Nothobranchius furzeri: one gene and its partners. The protein of the gene in region 3 purifies or fractionates together with the protein of the main gene of each other region. This does not show direct contact. Links are inferred from orthologs where the notes say so. Each region holds a gene or a part of one and is shown on either strand. Other genes may lie near its edges. The genes, in order: ap4m1, isca1 and tepsin.

Region 1 (3,651 bases), on a different chromosome or scaffold from region 3:
ACAACCGCCCAACAGGAAAAGGAGCAAGCACAACTTCCGTTTTTCACAATAAATCGATAAACAAAAAGCGTTTTTTGTTTCATATGCACATGTTTAACAACGTTTAACAACTATCAATGTCGGCTGAAGTTTAAATGCACAAAAGTAAGCCATAAATACAGTTTCCACTATCAAAGTAGTCACACTTTGTTGATCCAAACACAGCTGATCTCTCAACACAAATGACGGGCAGATTAAACAGTTCATGCCGATGCTTCTCCCACACAACGGGTGTTTGGATCTAACTTCCGCGTTTATTGCTCGGACTGTATCGCAAGATCTCGAAAATCCCGCGCAAGCTTGTTTGCCCACCTCCGATCTCCGCACCGGAGCAGAGCCGTTATAGAACGGGTATAGTATAATTTGAGTTCGGAAGCGAGCGGCTGCGGAAGGCGGGGGCGGACTGGAGCGGAGGTAGTGGAATTTGGGGTAAGTCGAGAGGCCCAGACTTCCCTCTCCCCAGCCACTTGCGCCAGCTCCTCTGGGGAAATCCTAAGGCGTTCCCTGGCCAGGTGAGAGACATAGACCCTCCAGCGTGTCCTGGGTCTACCTATAGGTCATCTCCCGATTGGACGTGCCCGGAATATCTCACCAGGGAGGCGTACAGGAGGCATCCTGACCAGATGCCCGAGCCACCTCAACTGGCTCCTCTCGATGTAGAGGAGCAGCGGGTCTACTCCGAACTCCTCCCGGATGACTGAGCTTCTCACCCTATCTCTAAGGGAGAGCCCAGCCACTCTGTGGAGAAAACTCATTTCAGCCGCTTGTATCCGTGATCTCATTCTTTCGGTCACTACCCAAAGCTCGTGACCATGGGTGAGGGTAGGAACGTAGATCGACAGATAAATTGAGAGCTTCGCCTTCTGATTCAGCTCTCTCTTCACCACGACAGATCGGTACAACACCCGCATCACTGCAGATGCAGCACCAATCCACCTATAAATCTCACGCTCCACCATAGTTTGGAACAACTGGACTGACTTAAGCACACCTACCGAGTCAGCAGAATATAGTTGGGACTGACCTCTTAGGTGGTAGATCACAGCGGAGCTTCAGGTACATCAGCAGCCTACAGGGGGAAAAGCTTCATCACTCATTGTGGACCAGGAGGCTCCAGAGGCTCAAACATTCAAATCAAAATCATTTCTAAACAACTGAGTGTGTGAGTCTGTGTATAATATTATCTTACACCATGTAAGTCATCAGCATCCCATCACAAAACCTTTAGCTTGTGTCAACGCCAGACAGACAGACAGGTGAGTCTGGTAGCTCCATCAAGAGAAGGAGACAGGTGAAATATGCAACAGACGGGCTTCGTCAGGACGCCGATGAGAGGAGGGAAAAAGTGAAGCGGACAGACTGAGCAAGATGGATTAAGGCCTGCAATCATGGCCATGACATTCTGATGTATGTGTGGGTGCTGGCCCCAGCTGGTTCTGGTCATCTCTTGTTTAATCATATCTGCATGATGTCAAAGCAGCTGGATGAGTCCAGACCAATTGTTGCTGGTTACCTCCCAGCTGCGTCTCTCTCCACGGTCGGGAAGAGACGGAACGGCGGCACCGAGGGGAGGTCATCACACAGCTGGTACTGCATCACCGTTTGCTGAAGGAGGAGTAGGGAGGAATTAAAATGAGCACTTGCATTTTCTATTTGAGGGCAGCCAGTTAGAGGAGGAGGAGTCATTTAGAAGAGGAGGAGCCAGTTAGAGGAGGAGGAATCAGTTAGAGGAGGGGGAGCAGTCAGTTAGAGGAGGGGTAGCCAGTTAGAGGAGGGGGAAGCAGTTAGAGGAGGGGGAGCCAGTTAGAGGAGGGGGAGTCAGTTAGAGTAGGAGGAAGCAGTTAGGGGGGGGGGGTCAGTCAGAGGAGGGGGAGACAGTTAGAGGAGGAGGAGTCATTTAGAAGAGGAGGAGCCAGTTAGAGGAGGAGGAATCAGTTAGAGGAGGGGGAGCCAGTTAGAGGAGGGGGAGTCAGTTTGGGGGGGGGGGGGGGGGGTCAGTCAGAGGAGGGGGAGACAGTTAGAGGAAGGGGGGTCAGACGAGTCAGTTAGAGGAGAAGAAGCCTAGAAAGTAGAGTGGAACAGGTTGATACCTCTCCTTGACTCGGGCAGAACCGGAGAATTCTGTGGCTGTCAAACTCGTCCAGTTGAACCATCTGATGGAAGCTGCACTCGTCAACTCGGACCGCAGCGCCGTAACCTGAACAGATCTGCTGATCAGAACCACACCCGATAGACCAAATGTAGGGGTTCCGTAGCACAGGTTTACCTCGAAGCTGTGATTTCCCGATGCTGAACTCCTCATTCAAACCAATCCTCATCTCTGTTGACACAGGAAACTTGTGTTGGAATCAACCAGAACCCGTGTTAGAATGGACCAGAACCCGTGTTAGAATGGACCAGAACCCGTGTTAGAATGGACCAGAACCCGTGTGGGAATGGACCAGAACTCATGTTAGAATGGACTAGAACCCGTGTTAGAATGGACCAGAACCCATGTGGGAATGGACCAGGACACTGGACTCGGTTGTAATCTCACCTGAACAGCTGGGCATGTAGCATTTGACTCTGACCTCTCCTTCCACGTCGGCCTTCATCAAAACCCCCTGCAGCAGAAAGGGTAGCCATCTTTTTACTTCCTCTTAGATCATTAAATGGCCAAGGACCTCTGTATATAGCAGAGATGTTTGAAACGTACCGCCCTTCAAACTCACAGGTCAGCAGATCAATTCCAACAGGTACAACCCAGAGCCCGCACCAAGCACGGAGAGGCCGCCTCTAGCTGCTATGTGGGCCATCTCCGGAACTGTCCTCCAACAGACATAAAGACCTCTCCCACATTTCCATTTTAAATTTAGATTAAAAACCAAACTTTTTCATGACGCCTTCCATTGACCTACCTGTGGTCTACTAGGTCTTTACCTATGCTGTGTTAAATGTATTCTACATGTATTTTAGATGTATTTTAGATGTATGCCCATATTGTGATGTTTTATCTTTGTTCTATATTTTAAAGTAAATAATTTGACTTAATATGTTTTATTTTTGTGTATTTTGTTCTGTGTAAATATTGTTTGATTTTACTTTACACAGCATGATGTGACATTTTAACTACTTCATTTACCTTGTGATTGTTTAACTATGTGAGGCACATTGGGCTACCGTTTGTGTGTGACATGGGCTATATATGGGCTTTCTCCCTATCCCAGCCTGGGCAGGACTGTGACCGGTGAAGGCCGTGGAACCGTATCTAGGATCCAATATGCTCTCTAACCCATTATCTCCCTCCCCGGGCCAAATGGAGGTGATGAGCGCTGCTCTTGCGGCTGCACGCCCTGAAGTGAGGAGAGTCCCAACCCTACCTCCCCACCTAGTGGACACTTATGTTGTGTATCGTCTAAAGTCTGTGTGCATATATGTCTGAGGTGGTTTTTGCATAGCAAAGCTATCCTCTCTGTCGGGGGTAACTCTGAAGTGCCTTTTTTTTCCCTCCCCCTGCCTCTGTCCTCATATAAACCCTCTTGATCTATAACAGTAGTGCGACTCGTGTTGTGAATGACCACAGTCACCAATTCTTGTCATGTGTCTATGTATGTATGTCTGATCTCAGAATTG
Region 2 (4,185 bases), on a different chromosome or scaffold from region 3:
GACACACAGGACAAACAATTCTATCTATCTATCTATCTATCTATCTATCTATCTATCTATCTATCTATCTATCTATCTATCTATCTATCTATCTATCTATCTATCTATCTATCTATCTATCTATCTATCTATCTATCTATATCTATCTATCTATATGTCTATCTATCTGTCTATCTATCTATCTATCTATCTATCTATCTATCTATCTATCTATCTATCTATCTATCTATCTATCTATCTATCTATCTATCTATCTATCTATCTATCTATCTATCTATCTATCTATCTATCTATCTATCTATCTATCTATATCTATCTATATCTATCTATCTATCTATCTATCTATCTATCTATCTATCTATCTATCTATCTATCTATCTATCTATCTATCTATCTATCTATCTATCTATCTATCTATCTATCTATCTATCTATCTATCTATCTATCATCTATCTATCTATCTATCTATCTATCTATCTATCTATCTATCCATCTATATATATATATATATATATATATATATATATATATAATACATACACACACACACACACACACACACACACATATATACACACACACACACACACACACACCCACACACACACACACACACACACACACATATACACACACACACATATACACACACACACACACACACACATATATATGTATGTATATATATATATATATATATATATATATATATCAGTCATTTAAAGCAATTAATGCAATTTAAAGCAATTAGGGAATATTTTAGAAGATTTAGCAAGATAATTGTTTATTTATTAGATTGCTGAGTTGGTTCCATTCACATTTTTCCTGAAATAATATGAAAATTCTAGGAAAGATATTTCGAGAGAAACTTTTAAATAAAAAGCTGTTAATGAAAAGAATCCTGGCACGTTTTGAAGATGCCTTCCTCTGTTTTTTGGAGGGGGGCGGGGTGTGACTGAGGAATAATTAGGAGGCAACGGGAACATAAAGTCCAAAACAGTGTGTGCCATATGGCTTAAAAATACAAAGAGAAAGTAGTCTGCTGTCAACGTTTTAAAGATAAGGTGGAATCGTTAAATAGTTTAAAAAAAAACAAATACACAGGGCTGCCGTTAACTAAGTGAGAAGAACGACTTTGTAAACACAAGTGTAATAAAAAGGTTATATAACAAAAGAGGGGCGAGACGTTCATTCGTTATCTCATTTGCTGTTTCACATGTCTATCAAAATATCAGCCAATCACCGATCGACTGGCTTCAAGGAGGCGTTACCAGTTTGGTCTCACGCATGCGCAATTCTATGTTATGATTTTAACAGTAAACATGTCTGCCTCCTTGGTTCGAGCGACCGTCAGAGCGGTCAATAAAAGAAAGATATTACCTACAAGAGCCGCTCTAACGCTCGTAAGTTCATCCTTTTAATAAAATATGAAAATAATTTACATTTAATCTTTGTACGTATATGTTTCTAAGGTGCGGTATTTATCCAGCATCCACGATCTAGTGCTACTAATTGTGTACCTTGGCTAAGTCAGTTAGCTAGCTAACAATCCTGTTCTAACGTCTACGTAGTGCGTACTTCCTGCCTGTCATAGTACATTTTCTTGTTATGGTTAAGGATTTCTTTTAGATTAAACGCATATTAGACAGCTTTCATAAGTGTGACAGTTGAATTTATGTTTATGTATTTATTTAGCAGACGCTTTTATCCAAAGCGACTTACAATCTATAACCTATAGGGCATGTTGTGATCTGTGGGGGAAACCGGAGTACCCGGAGGTGAGGGGGAGAACACGCAACTCCACGCAGAAAGGCCGCAGCCGAGTTTCGAACCTGCAACCTTCGTGCTGCGAGGCAACAGTGCTAACCACTGCGCCACCATGCGGCCCAACTGCGCCACCATGCAGTAAAGTGCTGCTGATTTTAACTTTAGTATTAGAACCAAAATAATGCAAGAACGCTAACGAAGCTGAGGTTCGGTCAGAAAGAGAACATCGTCATTTCTACAGACTGTAAACAAACATCTCACAAGGGAAAGCCCTGCCTAGCGCGCGGCAGGAACGGTATCTCTCGTTTCCTTCAGTACAAATAAAATTGCACAGTCGTTTTTCATGTGCTTTTAAAGAAAATAGTGTCAGCTGACACCTGTTTTGCAGCAGCTATGCTGCACAGCGAGCTATAACTTTGATTGATAAATAATTAACTACAAATTATAAATGTAGCATTTGACATTCATTATGCACAACTTTTGTTGAAAAAAGGTATTGTGCTATTGATATGGCCTTGATTATTTAAAACAAGTGCAAGCATATACTAATTTATAGGTTTTACCTAATAAATTGTAGACTAAAATGATCAGCATTAAAATAGTTTATGTTAAAGCAATGTTACTCAGTTTTTGACCAGTCTTCGGTTATATTAAATTAACACTAAATCAAATGAAGACAGCTGAATTAAACAGAATTTTGCCCCTTTGAGGCATTTCACATCTAATTTCTGTCTCAACTAAAATGCATTGATAATATTATGACAGCTTATTCAGTAAACAGTGTGAGCTGTCAGTCCACTCACTTTGTTGTTAACAGGTGGGCGGTTTGAAAAAGTGCTGATGAGGAATTTAAGCTGACGGACTCTGCTGCTGTGCGATAATGTGTTTATGTAGTGGCCGGAGCAGATAACAGTAGTATGCTGAAGGAAGGACTACGTAATGAGACGCGACTCCACACACAGCAGGGGACAGCTGACAGAAGGGGTCAGGGTCGTTCTTTTGTAATTACCGACAGGGATCGTGTTTGTAACACCACTTCTGTTGGATTTCTTTCATTTATTTTACACACATTAAATTTCAACTTAAGACAAAAGAAAAAACAATTTTTATTTATGCAGCACATTAGACGTTAAATGCTAATCTCATAGGGATTAACACTTTGAAGCCAAGTATCGCTCTCAAATGCCTTCCAGCTGCAGCCGAACCTTTCTTTTTCTCTTTGCAACTATAATTCCAAGTTTTTTATTTATTTATTTTTTATTAAACTTCAGTTTCAGACCAGCTACAGAGCCTCTGCATCACATGTGTGAAAGGGACCAAAACACCATCCATTACAACACATTTTGTTGCTATGTTCCTGTTTCTTCCTGACGTTTGTCACATACAGTTACAGATTTTTCAGGTTTAAAAAGCTTCGTTTTGAATCCACTTCACTCTGAAGCTTGGTTTAAAACTTTGGATTAACTTTCTTCTTTCTTCTTTAGTCTCCAGCAGCTGTGAGCAAAATCAGATCGCTGCTTCAGGACAAACCAGAATATGTGAGTTATTAAAAGTCACTGAAGTTCATTTGGAGGACAGTTTGTTTTTACTGTGATGTTTGAGTCCAACTTATTGACACTTTTAATAAAAACCACATGGATATTGTAAAATGCATAAGAAAAGAAAATTTAAGATCATTTTTTACAGGGTATCTGCGGGTCCTTAAAAAGTCTTAAGAAGTCTTAAATTTGCTTTTCCAAATTTAAGGCCTTAATAATCCTTAAAAATGACAAATAATCCTTAAATAGTTTCCAAAGGTCTTAAATTACCAAAGACCCATTAAACAAAATTCTTTTATTTCTATAAAATTTTCGTGAATTTCTAGTTCAGCATTTTTTGTGTACGAAGTTGGCGTAAGCGGAACCGTACACATTCAGCTGGTTGTGAAAGGGGGCTGTTTTTAGATGAGCACATTAGCTGGTTAAGCTAGCGGGAGCTTGCGCCATGGGGAAGTGCAACATTAATGGTAACTGGATGGCTAATCCCACGTTCGCCACATGGTTAGCACTGGTTCCAGGTAATAGCTGGACATTATAGCTTAAATTTAATTAAAAAAATAGCTTAAATTGGGTCAAAGTGGCCTTAAAAAAGGTCTTAAAAGGTCTTAAATTTGGCTCCCTTAAACTTGCAGATACCCTGTTTTTAGGCAGTGAATATCTTAAAGGGCAAGTTCAATGAAAAGCCAGTTTTGTGAAATACAATCAGTCATTCTGAGGTTAACGTGCAGGCTGAACGTCAAAATAGTCTTCTACCCCTAGTTCCCACATTAGCTGCCGATGGAAAGTATACAGGGAGACACTTGGAATAGAGAAGCCAGTCGGATCTGCGACACATCAACATTCATGAACTCACCCATCTTGACGAGGAAGGCTGTTGTTG
Region 3 (4,150 bases):
AACCACAGAAGTTTCATCCATCCTTCTTCAGCCGCTTAGCTGGGGTCGGGTCGTGCAGCAGCAGCCCAAGCAGGAAGGCCCAGGCTTCCCTTTCCCCAGCCACTTGAGCCAGCTCCTCCATGGGAATCCTAAGGTGTTTCCTGACCAGCCAAGAGACATATGGTGCTTTCACATCTGGGCCAGCATGGACCGGACTGGGTAGCTTTAAAGTGTTCACATCTAGGTGGCCGTGTATTTATCCATGCTCGACCAGTTTTTTGGCCTACATATCAACGCGGTCTGTTTCAAGCTGAACAGGTCCAACACACCCAATGCCAACTGATTGGCCGGTTCAAATACACGCCCAGCGTTAAGGGGAGCTTCCAATTGGCTGATAGAACGAACCGGCGGGAGCTTCCCGCAGGTGCGACTCAGTATTCTGGATGCTGAGACGTAAACATTGGTCGCCTCTGACTGAAGCTGCGGCAGCTCTCTGTTTCAATGCTGTGAGGAGCGTATGCACACACACACACACACACACACACACACACACACACACACACACACACACACACACACACACACACACACACACACACACACACACACACACACACACACACACACACACACACACACACACACACACACACACACACACACACACACACACACAGCATTGCCGTGCCTCGAGCTGCATGGCCTTTGTTTAAGGGAGACACCACAGACTTTTTCCGTGCGTCTTTTGCCCCGCCCACATGCTCAAGAGAAATATGGAAAAGTGAAAAAAAGATGTAAGGAATGTCACTGCAGCAGCTCAGAATGGTCAACGTCAGGGGATGCTCCTCATGATGTGGTGATTGGTGTCTGGGGGTTTCTCCTCCCAGATCCTGACCAAGGCATCACTGAGCTCCCAGAGGTGCAACCTAGTAGTGTTGAATGGACATACACATGATGTCACATGGATGATCTGTTGAATCTAGGTCAGGTGCGTGTGAAGGCCAGTCGATGCTTTATCCTCCAGAACCTGCTTACATACTTTTACCACATGCGGCCGGGCATTTTCATGCACCACGAACCCAGGACCCACTGCACCGGCAAAGGGTCTAAGGATTCCATCCTGATTCTGAAGACAACCAGGGCGCCATCATCTATCCTGCACAGGTCTGTGTGTTTCACTAGGGTTATGTCTCTCTGGAATAACATGGACCCAACATCAAACTATCATTCCTGTTTGATGGTCCTGTCCAACACTCCTAACTGTCTCCTGATGGAGCAGGACTACCAGTGCAAGCTCTGTAGGAATGGCCTGACACTACTATTAGTAAAATTGATCCCCAGGCAAACTCCTGAGAAGCAGCAGTCAAAAAAGATGAGGAGGGAGAAAATGTCTGGCGCCTCCACCTGCAAAACCATTCCTGTTTGAGGCGTTGTCTCATGGTTGCTACCTCAGTTGTTAATTTCATTATTACCAAAACAGCTAAAAATGAAGAACAACCCACTCTGAATCAACATCCCAGCATATATGTTTACTCACCCATAGTCGGGGGTGCTATGCTGTGAGGAGCTATGCTGCTTTTGACAGAAACTGCATCTGTGAAAAGTAAACGAGCCACTTCCTGTAAAAGAAAAGCCAAACGGTTGCTGAGATGCTGTCAGGCTGTTAACACTGACCTGAAAGATTTACCTCAGTGCCTCACCTGTGCTGTGTTTCTCACTTTCTGGTAAAGTGCTGTGCCATGGATGGGATCAGGGGGACCACTGTAAACTAATAAAAGAAAAGCCATCCAGCAGTGTTAATATTGAGATTATAACCCTGTTCCAGCATCATGGAAAGCAGATGAAGTGCTCTAATCTCACCTGATGCTTGCTGGATGAAGGTGGAATTCCTTCTGAGCTCCGTGAGGAAAGGCTTCGATCCATGACCACAGAGATGGACGAAGATCTTTAGCACCTGGTTCACAAGAGATAAGATGAGAATTAATCACACAGAGGAATCGAAAATGTTTGCTACAGATTAGTAGCTCTCACCTTTAGTTTAACATGGCAGGACTCGACTTGGAGCCTCTCCAGAAGGTATTCCAACAAACACTGACCATAACCTAAAGACTCGTGGCAGATTTCTGCAAGATGCTCACTGTTAAAGTCAGATAATCAGACTATAACAGCCCTTTTCACTTTGCTGTTGCATAACATTGATCTGAGATGAATGAACAATTGGTGTGATGCCTGATTTACAAATCCACCTTCATCTGTAATAAACAAGACTCAGATTGATTTCTGACAAGACAGTACACATAAAGCAGCAGTAGATTAATTTGGTTTCAGATAATAACAATGACATTTATATGATTATATATGTATGTGTATATACACATTAACAGGTGTATCAATGCCAACATGGATACTGCCAATCTCCTGGAAAACGTAGCCAGGACAGGGCGTTTCATCATCTGCTGTAGCTTTCATCAGGATGGGAACCTTCAATTAAAGGAATTAATATTTAGATAAATGTGTCCAGAAGACTGGCTAATTGTAAAACATCATAAAATAACTACAGGATGACTTAACGTTAAAGAAACAACCCAACATTTCCAATGAGACTAGTAATGTTGATGTTAGCTAGTAGCTAGCTAAAACAGATTTAAACAGACACGTCAGCGTTACGTCTCACTTGTCAGAGTCTTCTTAGATATTATTTGCGTTTCTAACTAACAATGTATGTAAATGTTCCTTACTTTCTGAAGAAAAGCTATTCGTTCCATAAATGAAGCCATGATTTAGCAAACCAAGCTGCAGGTTACTCATTTTCCTGCTGCTAAAGGAGGGCGGGACTTTAGTTGACAGCCAATCACGAACTAGTCAGTAGCAGCAATTATTTCTATTGGCTTTCAGCTCGATTCAAACAGCCAATTAAATTTAATAACGCTTTCCCACCACCTCCGACGTTTTCTTTAGATTGACAAGTACGCGAGCCTATCACGTATAGGAATATCTGACCCGGATGTAGTTTTGTGAAGGAAACACCAACATGGCGCTGTCGGTGACTTACCCGATTGCTTTTAAGATGTTTTTGGGGTTTTTTGTAATGCATTTAAACCAATGACAAACAATATTTTTCACCATTCATTAATACAACAACACAAAGGACTCCTCTGCTGCTGTCTGATGCGCAACATGTCTGGGTCTAATAATGTGTGGAGTCGAAACCGGGAGAGATTGCGACTCTTCTCTGAAGTGTTTGCTCAGTGTGCGGATGAGGTGAGCTCTCATAAAGGCAGGTTCAGAGGATTTAGACCGCCTGCTGTTAAACGGAAAGTTAAGTCTTCAACTTTATTGTTTTTAAAATGCCCCGTAGAGCTCTGCTTTATTTATTAGACACGTTTAATCTGTAAAATACTTTGAATCAATTTGTCCTAAAACCTGAGATTAATCTACCCTTTAAACTATACACATGCATAAACGCTTTGCTACTGAGGAGGGATCAGTACAGCCACCATAATGTGCAGAGTCAACATCTGGACTGTTGACTTTAAGTTCAAATCCTGACTGGAGACAGTCCATGATCTTCCTAATCAGTCAGAAGGTGAGGGGTGAATTGTTTGTCCACCTGCCAACCCCACACCTGGATCATGGTGTCAGGATGGTGACTTAAGGTTGGTGTGACAAGGAACTTCAATTCAATTCAAAAATACGTTATTAATCCCAGAGGGAAATTGATCAACAGTGATGATGCTCCAATCAGTCAGAGAAAACGACTTTAATCTTTATTTAATCTGATGTCTTTCGCGACACCAGTTTGGTGTTTAGGACGTCCTCAGACATCAGACCACAGAGAAAGAAAAACTACTTAGTGTCATCAGACAGACTTTTTTCCTGAGACCTTTTCGTCTGATGCTATTTGATTAGACGTCTGGGTTTTTGAATGAAACCAGATTTTTTGTCCTCTATTGTCTGATGTCTGAGACCTGAGGATGTCCTAAAGTGCACACCAGGCTGTTCTCCGAGTGCCTGCAAACATGCCGACACCTGCTCAGTACTATTCCTGAAGTGTAGCTTTGAATATTAAACATTTGTAGCGCAATAAACCCCCGTTTCCCGTCCTGAACAAGAAAACAAGCTGAGCTGAAACGGATATAGCTGAATGACAGAAACACCTTAGAGAAGTCGC

What was found.
Region 1: the proteins of tepsin (region 3) and ap4m1 purify together in Homo sapiens (co-immunoprecipitation; 3 studies listed by BioGRID and IntAct, with this or other methods). This does not show direct contact. The link is inferred for Nothobranchius furzeri from reciprocal best matches to the Homo sapiens genes TEPSIN and AP4M1.
Region 2: the proteins of tepsin (region 3) and isca1 purify together in Homo sapiens (co-immunoprecipitation; 3 studies listed by BioGRID and IntAct, with this or other methods). This does not show direct contact. The link is inferred for Nothobranchius furzeri from reciprocal best matches to the Homo sapiens genes TEPSIN and ISCA1.

Annotation. Positions count from the first base shown.
Region 1 is NC_091750.1:26,790,769-26,794,419, reverse strand, and holds part of ap4m1 (AP-4 complex subunit mu-1), read right to left. Parts: intron 2,643-3,651; coding exon 2,576-2,642; intron 2,360-2,575; coding exon 2,306-2,359; intron 2,237-2,305; coding exon 2,130-2,236; intron 1,645-2,129; coding exon 1,553-1,644; intron 1,109-1,552; coding exon 1,064-1,108; intron 1-1,063. UniProt on the Homo sapiens protein: Component of the adaptor protein complex 4 (AP-4). Adaptor protein complexes are vesicle coat components involved both in vesicle formation and cargo selection. They control the vesicular transport of proteins in different trafficking pathways.
Region 2 is NC_091757.1:56,837,509-56,841,693, forward strand, and holds the start of isca1 (iron-sulfur cluster assembly 1 homolog, mitochondrial), read left to right. Parts: upstream 1-1,291; 5' UTR 1,292-1,304; coding exon 1,305-1,403; intron 1,404-3,251; coding exon 3,252-3,305; intron 3,306-4,185. UniProt on the Homo sapiens protein: Involved in the maturation of mitochondrial 4Fe-4S proteins functioning late in the iron-sulfur cluster assembly pathway. Probably involved in the binding of an intermediate of Fe/S cluster assembly.
Region 3 is NC_091756.1:28,830,968-28,835,117, forward strand, and holds the start of tepsin (AP-4 complex accessory subunit Tepsin), read right to left. Parts: upstream 2,835-4,150; 5' UTR 2,757-2,834; coding exon 2,718-2,756; intron 2,461-2,717; coding exon 2,388-2,460; intron 2,103-2,387; coding exon 2,011-2,102; intron 1,934-2,010; coding exon 1,840-1,933; intron 1,748-1,839; coding exon 1,680-1,747; intron 1,599-1,679; coding exon 1,517-1,598; intron 1-1,516. Other genes in the region: ndufaf8 (NADH dehydrogenase [ubiquinone] 1 alpha subcomplex assembly factor 8), read left to right, coding at 3,082-3,240. UniProt on the Homo sapiens protein: Associates with the adapter-like complex 4 (AP-4) and may therefore play a role in vesicular trafficking of proteins at the trans-Golgi network.